3 linked regions of the Sus scrofa genome follow. The protein of the gene in region 1 purifies or fractionates together with the protein of each later gene. This does not show direct contact. Links are inferred from orthologs where the notes say so. Each region holds a gene or a part of one and is shown in the gene's direction. Other genes may lie near its edges.

Evidence for each region. The genes of interacting proteins can lie anywhere in the genome.
Region 2: the proteins of RNF185 (region 1) and ERLIN2 purify together in Homo sapiens (affinity purification with mass spectrometry; 5 studies listed by BioGRID and IntAct, with this or other methods). This does not show direct contact. The link is inferred for Sus scrofa from reciprocal best matches to the Homo sapiens genes RNF185 and ERLIN2.
Region 3: the proteins of RNF185 (region 1) and TMUB2 purify together in Homo sapiens (affinity purification with western blotting; 3 studies listed by BioGRID and IntAct, with this or other methods). This does not show direct contact. The link is inferred for Sus scrofa from reciprocal best matches to the Homo sapiens genes RNF185 and TMUB2.

The regions. Positions count from the first base shown.
Region 1 is NC_010456.5:47,945,084-47,949,393, forward strand, and holds the start of RNF185 (E3 ubiquitin-protein ligase RNF185), read left to right. Parts: upstream 1-1,300; 5' UTR 1,301-1,464; intron 1,465-4,310. UniProt on the Homo sapiens protein: E3 ubiquitin-protein ligase that regulates selective mitochondrial autophagy by mediating 'Lys-63'-linked polyubiquitination of BNIP1.
Region 2 is NC_010457.5:48,648,884-48,652,741, reverse strand, and holds part of ERLIN2 (erlin-2), read left to right. Parts: intron 1-709; coding exon 710-783; intron 784-965; coding exon 966-1,024; intron 1,025-1,673; coding exon 1,674-1,765; intron 1,766-2,567; coding exon 2,568-2,657; intron 2,658-3,858. UniProt on the Homo sapiens protein: Component of the ERLIN1/ERLIN2 complex which mediates the endoplasmic reticulum-associated degradation (ERAD) of inositol 1,4,5-trisphosphate receptors (IP3Rs) such as ITPR1.
Region 3 is NC_010454.4:19,019,004-19,021,429, reverse strand, and holds the end of TMUB2 (transmembrane and ubiquitin-like domain-containing protein 2), read left to right. Parts: coding exon 1-94; intron 95-324; coding exon 325-691; 3' UTR 692-1,789; downstream 1,790-2,426.

The DNA.
Region 1 (4,310 bases):
ACCTGAGCCACAGCTGTGACTTACGCTGCAGCCGTAGCAACACCAGATCCTTAACCCACTGTACTGGGCCGGGAATTGAACCTGCGTCTCAGGGCTCCCAAGATGCTGCCGATCCCATTGTGCCACAGCAGGAACTCCCTAGAGACATTGTGTTACCCCTAAATACTTCAGTGAATATTTCCTAAGAACAAGGAAGTACTCTTACCATAACCACAATACAATGATCAAATGTAGAAATTTTAACATTGATACAATATGTAGTCACAGCTAAACCATGATCCAAATTCCAATTTTGTCTTTTGTCCCAATATTGTCCATTAAACCTATTCTGCCTCTCCTTATGCTAGTCCAGGATCCAATTTACAATCATATATCTCATTTTGTTGTCATGCCTCTTTAATCTCCTTTAAACCAGAACAGTTCCTCAGTCTTTCTCTGTTTTTTTCATGATGCTGACAATTATTTTGTATACTGTTCTCCATCTGGACTATGTCATGCTTCCTCATGAAACAAAACATGGGTTACTCATTTTTTTTGGCTGCACCCTACAACTTGTGGAAGTTCCTGGACCAAGATGGAACCTGAGTCAGAGAATCGACCCAAGCTGCTGCAGTGACAATACTGGATCCTTAACCTGCTGTACCACAAGGGAATTCTGAGTTATGCATTTTTGTCTAAAATACCACAGGAGAGATGCTGTCTCTTTCTCAGTGCATCTTACTAAGAGGCACATGCTCTTTACTTGATCTACAACTGGTGATATTAACTTACTGTTCTGTGAGATTATATGTAAAACTACTATTTTCCCTTTGTAATCAAAAAGGAATTTATAGGAGACATTTTGCTGTGTAAATATTCTCTTCCTCTAGTTTTACCATCCATTATTGATTTTCTAACTCCATCATATTTGTTATTTTGCTTCTACTAAAAGGCATAATTTCCCCTTCTCCCCCATTTATTCAATCACTTTTATACCAGTAAAGACTCATGGGTTACCATTTTATTCAATTAGTTAAATCTGTTACTATCAAGTATTTTGATTCTCAAATTGCGACGATTTGGCCATGGGATCTCTTTCAAGTTAGCTCCTGTATCCTCTGACGTATTCTCATCATCCTTACATTCTGGTGCAACAAAACTGTTTGAAACTTGTCTGTACTTTCCCTACACAGACCTAGGCTTTCTGAAAAGCTGGCAAGTGACCCCTACGCTTTTCTGCTTCCTGCCGGCAGGCGGAACCTTAGAGTCCAGGATCTGGGCGGGAGAACAGCGCAGCGGACCAACCTTTTCCGGTTGTGGACGGAAGTCCCTTGGAAAGCTGCGGCTCTGCGTCAGCTGACCAGAGTCCGCGTAGGAGGGACCCGAGGTCCGGCGGGACGGACTATCCCAGCGGAGAGACTGGCTGGGCGGCCGACGGAAGGACAAACTGGAGTGGCCTCGGCGGTGTTAGCTGAGCAGAGGCAGGTACTTGAGAGGCTGGGTTGGCAGCTAGGGGCCGTCCAGGTTGAGGGACGCGGGCGAGGGACCGGGTTCCGCCTTCACCAGGCCCATGGGCGGCAACACCTGAGCCCAGGAACGCAGAGGCAACAAGCTGGCTCTGTTCCGGGCCCTCCGCCCCAGGGGAAGGTCAGGCTTGTGTTGTGGTCTTTCGTCCAGTGATTACAATTTGGGGAATCTAAGGCTCCAAGAAGAGGAAAGGCTGCCAGAAGCTCTCCTAACTTCGAGAACTCAGGGACTCTCTCTAACTCTCTGACTCCCATTCGAGGCCGCCTCTTTCTTGTAAAGGTGCTTTTAATGAGTTTGTCCCCAGTGGAGAGGCCGAGGCCGGTAAGCGGGATGAATAGAGTTGGGCTTGGGAGAAAGAGACCCAGGTTTGAGGCTTCACCACTGACATACATTTGTGTGACTGGGTCTTTACCTGTGCCAGGTCTCAGTTTCTTTTCTAAAACAGGGCCCTGTTTCTCTAAATATGGTTCCCACAGCCTCTGGAGTGCATACTCTACAATGCAGGACTCTTGAGACCTCTTATTTAGAATTTGGGTCCGAACTGGGGAAACTATAGTTTGAATGTTTGCTTTGGGGGACCTGTGCATACTGATGTTTGAAGCCCACTGATTTTTTTTTCTTTTTTAACTAGGATATAGTTGACTTACACAGTTGTGCTAATTTCAGGCATACAGCACAGTAAATCGTTATACATATACCCATTCCTTTTCAGATTCTTTTCCCATATAGGTCATTACACAATATTGAGTAAATTTTCCTGTGCTGTGCAGTAGGTCGTGTTACCCATCTATTTTATATATAGGAGTGTGTATGTATCAATCCCAGCCCCCTAATTCATCCCTCCTCTCCCCATGTTTCCCCTTTGTTAACATAAATTTGGTTTCAAAATCTTTGTGAAGCCCACTGATCTTAAGTGCTTTCCTTCTGTGAGTACTAGATATCTAGTCTTTGCTCTGAGGCAGCTGGAACTTGTTCAGGATCTTGGGGGGGGGGGGAAGGAGGAGGGAAACAGACCAGAAAAGACAGCAGTGGAATGGACCAGACATTATAATGGTGAAGAGAGCTTCTACCTCATCTTTGATGTTAAAAGAGGCAGAAACGAGGACAAATAGGTGGATCCTACAGGAAAATGATTTAATGAAATAACTACATGCTTGTCAGAGGTGAACAGTGTAAGAATGGATTGCCTCTAAAGGTAGTGAACTCCCCATAGAAGGAGCTATTAAGTATTAGATGGACGTCCTTTTCAACATGAACATGTTTGGTTCTAAGTAGTTATTTTGAGTCTAGTGTTGATTGACTTCTTTTTTTCTGTCCTCTTTTCTTGACATCTCCATCCCCCCAGCCTACATCTTCTAGAAGTGAGGCAACTGGGTCCGAACGTACATAATCTTTTCCTGGTTGTCCTGTGTACCATCCTCCTTTTCAAGGACTTTGGAATGGCCCATCTGATAAGGGCTCCTTAAGTGTATATTGAATAACTAGACAGGGTCCCCACCCCATCAGTTTGTAGCTTACTTTTTAGAACAACTTGGAAATGCATCTGAAGACTTTGTGTTTGATGAGGAGAAGTCAGTGAATTCTTTGGATTCACAGAATTGAAGAGTCTGGGTCAGAAAGACCTCTTGAGGATGTTGAAGCCAGCTTCTCCCGCCCAGCCCCAGGACATAAATCCCCCTTTAATCCTCTCTCCAGCAGCATGTTGTACAGATGTGTCTACCCAGAGAATTTATGCAATCTATTAGCTAACTTCATCCACGTTTAAAACCAGTCCTCTGATGGACTTTACTTACTAGTTCATTCTTACATGTAATCTGCAGATAATGCTTCTAGCGTTTCTCTAATTAGTTTTCTAATTAAACATCAAAGTTTCTGGAGTTCCTCTTGTGGCTCAGCAGGTTCAGGACCCAACATTGTCTCTGAGGATGTGGGTTCGAACTCTGGCCTGGCTCAGTGGGTTAAGGATCTAGTGTTGCCACAGCTGTGGCATACATAGGTCACAGATGTGGCTTGGACACTGTCGCTGTAGCTGTGGCGTAGGCCAGCAGCTGCGGCTCCAATTTAACCACTAGCCAGGGAACTTCCATATGCCCAAGGTGTCGCTATAAAAAGAAAAAAACAAAACATCGAAGCTCCTTATTTTATGGTTTACAAAACTCCAAGCAGATCACTTTTTAACAACCTGTTAGAATGCTTACATTGCCCTATGGAGCAGAGGTTCCATGCTATGACCCAATCCTGTTGACATACCCTTGACAAAAAAAGTCTGGGTTTGAGCCAAGACTTCCTGCCTGTGTTTATCTTCCTTTCTTGTTTTGTGTTCCCTACTTTTTTAAAAAGTTGTAAAACACTTATTGAGATATTATCCAGGTGTTGAGTAAAATGATTTTAATTTAGTGGTATCTTTAAAACTTCTCAATATGAAAATTTCCTTTTAAAAAATTACCTATATCAGCATTTCCATAGCGTATTCTTCAGCCTCTAGTCAAGAGGAGATACCTCTGAAAAAAGTGTTTTGTGGTAAAAATAAGTTTGGAAAAAATTACATGTCATTATCCCTTCTTGGAGCTTCTCCGTGTATAGTATTGTGTCAAAGGTACTGAGAGTCCTGCAATAAAGAGGTATGTCTAACCTTGTTGAATCTAGTGTTGCCAGACTTAATTGATGTGAAACACCTTTTTTTTTTTTCTTTTTTTGGTGATTAAAGCACACTTTCAAATTCCAACCTAGATCATGAGTCTGCAGTCTATGGCCTGTGGACCAAAACTGGCCCCACTGCTTGTTTTTGCATGGCTTATGAGCTA
Region 2 (3,858 bases), on another chromosome or scaffold:
AGCCTTGGGCTCGTTTCCAGAACTATAAATTGTCTGGTGCTATTTGATTGAGTTCCTAGTGGAATTAGTCTTCTTTGGGGCTTTCCTTAACGTCAGAGTCTGTTTTTCCTTTAGAAACTTCTAAAACTGCTAGATTTAATGTGCTTGGCTCTTTTCAAAATACCTACTTGGCCTTTCCACCTTTCTTTGTGAAAGGTGGCACCCACCTTCTCTTTTGCTGCCCTTTCTAGGAAAAGGCTGCTGCCTGACTCAAGAAAGGCACTAATTGTTGTTTGTTTTGTTTTGTTTAATTTTATTGGAGTAGAGTTGACTTACAATGTTGTATTAGTTTCAGGAGTACAGCAGAGTGAATCAGTTATACATATACACATATCCGTTCTTTTTCAAGATTCTTTTCCCATATAGGTTATTATGTTTGTTCTTCTTTTTAAAGCTCAATTCCCTCTTGGGCAAGGTTGATATTTTCCTGAGGCCCCAGGGAAAGGACATTCACATCTGCTCATGTAGCAGGACGGCGTGGGCTTTCCGCCCCAAGAGTCCCAAGGGGTGGGCTGGGTGGTCTTTGGGGGTCTGGGCACTGATGAGCACACAGCCTTGGGAGGAAGACCTTTTGTCTGCCAGGTGTGTTCTTGGGCTGGTGTCTTGACTTGCACTCTGCCCCCAAGGCCAGAAAGCGTAACAGCTGCTTTTTTGTGTGTCTTGATTCCAGATCAGATTGATGAAAATCTCAAACTGGCTTTGCAGCAGGATCTGACCTCCATGGCCCCTGGGCTTGTCATCCAAGTAAGCGTCGCCCTGATGGGAGCACCCCTCCCCCTCAGGAAGGTGCACCCCCACCGCAGGAAGGCACAGCCTGCCCCTTTTGCAGAGGATGCCTTGCAGCGGGTGCTGGATGATCAGGACCCGTAGGAGCAGGTCCCCAGCACCCTCATTTCCCATCAGGTGCTATTTCTGTCCTTCTCCAGGCTGTGCGTGTGACAAAGCCCAACATACCCGAGGCCATCCGCAGGAACTATGAGCTGATGTGAGTATGCCCTGCACCCCCGCTGCACTCCAGGGGCAACCGGTGTGCCAGGCGTGTGGTCCCGTCTTGAGTGTTTGTTACAGCCAGTTGCCCTGTGAGACGGAGCAGGCGTGGCGGGACGCTCCCCTGGGCTCCATGACTGTGACTGAGAGCCGCAGAGCAGCAACGCTCTTAAAAGGGCCAGGGAGCCTAATTCGAGCTTCACGGCTCATGCCAGACAGGGGAGGGCAATTGAGTGGGCAGGCGGGTACCCTTTACTATAGTAAATTATGCTTTATTTCCTGCATGAGTTTTGGAGGCGGCGCAGAGACCTGTGACTGTCTGCAGCAGACCTCCTTTTACCTGAAACGTTAAACGGCCTTTCAGGAGTTCCCTAGTGGCTCAGTGGGTTAAGGATCTGGCATTGTCACTGCTGTGGCTCTGGCTACTGCTGTGGCATGGGTTCTATCCTTGGATGGGGAACTTCCACATGCTGCAGGCATGGCCAAAAAATTAAAAATTTTAAAAAAACAAAAAAGCCTCCCAGCAGAGAGGAGGAAATCACAGCTTGCCTCCCTCGGTGGGAGAGTTTGGCTTCTCCCCGGACAGTGGAATTTCTGTGGAAGCTCATCTCCAGTGGCCTCCCAATGCACACTTTTCTCCCCTCCAGGGAAAGTGAGAAGACAAAGCTTCTCATTGCAGCCCAGAAGCAGAAGGTGGTGGAGAAGGAGGCCGAGACAGAGCGGAAGAAGGCCCTCATTGGTCTGAATGTGCTTCTGGGACCCCCTTTCAGCGCAGAGGGGCTGGGGAGGGTGGGGACATTCAGGGAAGCCTGGAGCGGGGTCCTCCAAAGCCCCACCACATGCAGGGGTGGCACTTATCACCCCGGAAGCATAGCTGAAACTGCCAGATCATGGCCAGGGGTCAAAAGTTTTGAGTTTCCATATAGGAACCCTTCCTGTTCATTCAGAATTCCCCATAATAACAGCGCTCACCCAGCCTTTCCTATGAGCAGCCTTGTGTGTGAATCACCTCACCCCTCAAAACCCCCACATGAGGAAGGCACCCTCATTAATCTCATTTCATGGAGCTAAAGCCGGAGAGGTTAAATCACCGCCCAAGGTCACAAGGTGAAGAAGTGGTGGAAATGGGGTTCAAATCCAGCGACTCTGTTCCCGAACCTGGGTTCTGCACCACTGCACTAGACTATTGGCCACAACCCTAGCTACCTCCTAAAGTGCAGCAGCCGGAGGAAACTTTTTAGAGAGTGCCTTAGTGCTTAAAAAATTCCTTTGGAAGAAATACCCTGTGACTTAAAGGGTTTGCTCCTTGTCAAAGGAAGGACTCTTCCCTTTGGCCCAGGTCCCCTGGGCATTGCCTGGCGCTGACACCCCGTTCCATCCCTGCCCCTGCGGCCTGCCATGGCTCTCCCCCAAGCCAGTGGCTCTTCTCTAGAGCTCACCCATGCCCTGCAGCAGACCCTTGGGTCAAGTGAAAGGTGCTTGGAGTCAAACTTTTTTGAAGTGTCAGCGCTCTAAGCCTTTCCTCAACTTGATTAACACAGAGGCAGAGAAAGTGGCTCAGGTTGCAGAAATCACCTACGGGCAGAAGGTGATGGAGAAGGAGACGGAGAAGAAGATTTCAGAAATCGAAGGTGAGCAAAGGTGAAAACTGAGCCTGCCTTTTCCTCAGGCCCCACTCAGCCACCAGTGGGTGGGAGAGTCCTTTCCCTTACTCCTTAAGCTCTCCTCGGATGTCACGGTTTCTTTTTTTTTTTTTTTTCATCTTTTTAGGGCCTGCATCCATGGCATATGGAGGTTCCCAAGCTAGGGGTCGAATCAGAGCTGTAGCCACCGGCCTACACCACAGCAATGCCAGATCCGAGCTGCGTCTTCGACCTACACCACAGGTCAAGGCAATGCTGGATCCATAACCGCCTGAGCGAGACCAGGGATTGAACCCACAACCTCATGGTTCCTAGTCGGATTCGTTTCTACTGAGCCATGACGGGAACTCCGGATATCACAATTTCTTTGGAGCATCACATTTTCTCTGTGCTCTGATTCGAGATTGGGGGAGATTGGGGCCAGGCTGGCATTCATCTTCCACATCAGAGAGAGTCACTCATTCAACAGACATTAGCTAGGCGGGGCTAGAAGGAAAGGCAGTCACATGGTCCCTGCGGTCTTGGGTTCACAGCCTGGCCTCAGAAGTAAATGGAGGAGCCAGGTCAGAGCAGCAACTTGTTCCCTGCTGCCTTCCCCTCCCCCTCCTCAGAGTCCATGAACTCCGCAGCTTTGGTCTCTCCGGGTCCCTGTGGGTGTGAAGACACCTTTCAGCACCAAAAAGACAAGCGGAAGAGAAGTGCTTTCTGTGCCACTTCTTTTTCTTTATTGGCCGCCCTGCAGCATATGGAGTTCCTAGGCCAGGGATCAGATCCGAGCCACAGTCACAACCTAAGCCATAGCTATAGCAATGCCAGATCCTTAACCCACATGCCTGGCTAGGAATCAAAGCCAGTGCTCCATAGATGCCGCAGATCCCATTGCGCCACAGTAGGAATTCCTGTGCCACTTTTCTGAATATCACTCGCCTTCAGTTCCCTGCCCCTAAGCCCTCACCTCAACCCCACCTTCTCCATGTGGTGCCTTATATCACACAAATTCTAGGCCAGAAACAGGATCTTAGGGCCCAGCTACAGGCTACAAAGTGCTATGTCCATTTATAATCATGACGGGGCCTGTCAGGCTTTGCAGAGGCCCAGGGAAGAGCTACTTAGGATTCTACAGAATAGCAGCTCCTCACTCAGGAGTTCTTAGCACCTTTTTTTTTTTTTTTTTTGGCTGCATCTGTGG
Region 3 (2,426 bases), on another chromosome or scaffold:
GCCCCAGCCTCATCAATGTGCGGCTCAAATTCCTCAATGACACCGAGGAGCTGGCTGTGGCCAGGCCAGAGGATACTGTGGGTGCTCTGAAGAGGTAAGTGGGCTGGGAAGTGGGAGGCTGCTCAAACCCCAAGCCCCCAGCCCTTGGTCGCCTCGGAGGAGGCCAGGATAGAGTGGGGACAGCAGGGATGCATCAGGTCCTGCCCCGCACTTTCTTAGAAACCCGTGCTTAGAAACCCCCTCACCCTGCTTCGCTGGTCCGGGCTTTTCGGTCTTGTCTCATTGCTCGCCCTGTCTCTCCTTCTGCCTCTCTCGTCCTTGCAGTAAATACTTCCCTGGACAAGAGAGCCAGATGAAGCTCATCTACCAGGGCCGCCTGCTGCAGGACCCGGGCCGCACGCTGCGTTCCCTGAACATCACGGACAACTGTGTGATTCACTGCCACCGCTCGCCCCCGGGGTCAGCTGCTCCAGGCCCCGCCGCCGCCCTGGCCCCCTCCTCGGCCACTGAGCCACCGGGCCTGGGCGTCAGTGTGGGCAGCCTCATGGTGCCTGTGTTCGTGGTGCTGCTGGGTGTGGTCTGGTACTTCCGCATCAATTACCGCCAGTTCTTCACAGCACCTGCCACTGTCTCCCTGGTGGGGGTCACTGTCTTCTTCAGCTTCCTAGTATTTGGGATGTACGGACGATAAGGACCGTGGGGAGAAGACGCAAGGCCTGGTCTTCCTCCTTTATGGCCTCCCCCCTTTCCTGGCCAGGGCTGGGCCCAAGGGCCTGGGAGGGAAGGGTGGGAAGGATGCGGTGGGTCTTCGTCCACAGGACACGAGAGGCAGGTGTGGGGGCCTCCCCTTCACGTCCACGAGGGTACGGACGTCCCCTCTGTGCAAGCACAACTCAGGTAGAAATGAGAATGTCATCTTCCTTCACTTTCAAGGTCCTGGAGTTCAGAGCCGAGCCGGTGGCCCTGCTCAGTGGGGAGCCTGGGCTCTGAGGACTCCCTCCCAGCTGCGGCCCTGGCTCTTCCCGTTATCCTGCATGTCTGCTCCTCAGCACCCCGGGCTGCCTGCCAGGGCAGCTCAGCATGGCCCCAGCATACTTGTGTAGGGAGCCCCGAGGCTCTTTCGGTTCCTTAGCGGCATATCCATCTTGACACACAGGAGCGAAGTGTGTGTCAGCTTTCCCTCTGGGCACCTGGCCGCCCCTGCCTTCTCCCTCCAGCCCGTAGCCGGAATAGGGTGTTCTGTGTTCTGGACAGTTGCCAGTGTTCTCCCTTTTTTTCACAGCACTTTGCTTATTTTTTTTTTTTTAATAGTCCTTTATAGAGCTCAGTCAGGAAGGGGATTGGGGCACAAAGCCAAGCCCCCGGCACTGGGAGAGGCCGGGCCACAGCTGCTGCTCCCCTAGGCCTAAGGCTGTAAGCAAGAGGCAGCTCTGGCCCTCAGCCAGCGTCCTACCCTGCCCAGCTCCAAGGACGAGCTCCGGGTACGGAGCACTGGGCCCCAGGCCCTTGTCTCTGGGGCTCTTGGATGGTCAGTATCTGTGACTGAATAAAGTTCCATTTTGTGGCTGTGGAGTCTCCTGTGACATTGAGAGAATGGCTTTGCTCTGCCCCAGTGACGTGGGAATGAGGGTGGGTAGGCCAGGCTACCAACAGGAGATGCAGTTTATTTACACCAGCAGCCATGGGGGCAGGGGGAATACACAGCGTTTACAAAGTTAGCTACCTGTACAGGATGGATTACATATGCAAAAATAAAAATTTCAAGACCACAGGACAGCGTGAGCCCCACCCCCCTCCCCCAATGACCCCAGCATGCGGTAATGCCAGGCGGGTGGCCCCTGGGCATGCGGGGGGGAGTGATGCATGGAAGGAAAAGCCACCGGCCATGGAAATTAGTACAGAACCCCCCCACACACACTCAGACACATGATAGGATACAAGGTGGACGACACCTAGCCGGGGTGGGAAGGGTGGGAATTGAAACCCACACAGCCTGCTGTTAGAAGGAAGGGAGTGGGGAGCTCCTAGCCCCTGTTCAACTACATGGTAGGGGGGGGCACGCGCTCCCCGGAAGGAAGGGGGTTTGCTCCCTCAGGGTCCCTGCTGGACCAAGCCCATCTCTTACCCAGCCTGGGCAGGGGGCTCTGCCCTGAGGGCGGGCCAAGGAACAATGGGGAAGTGGATGTGGACAAACCAGTTCCCAAACTACTTCCCACTTCTCCCTCCTCCAACCAGAAGGGGGAAAGGGAGAGGCCAGAGGGGAAAAGGGTATTTGGGGGCCTGAGCTGCAGCTGCCTCTCAGAAGGGAGCGGGGCCCGCGGCCTTCCTCCCTTCACCTTCAACCTGCTCCCCAGGCTTGGTTCGGGAGCGGGCTGGAGGCCGGCTGGGATCCTCCTTTCCCTCTGGCTTCCCCTCGGAGGGAGAAG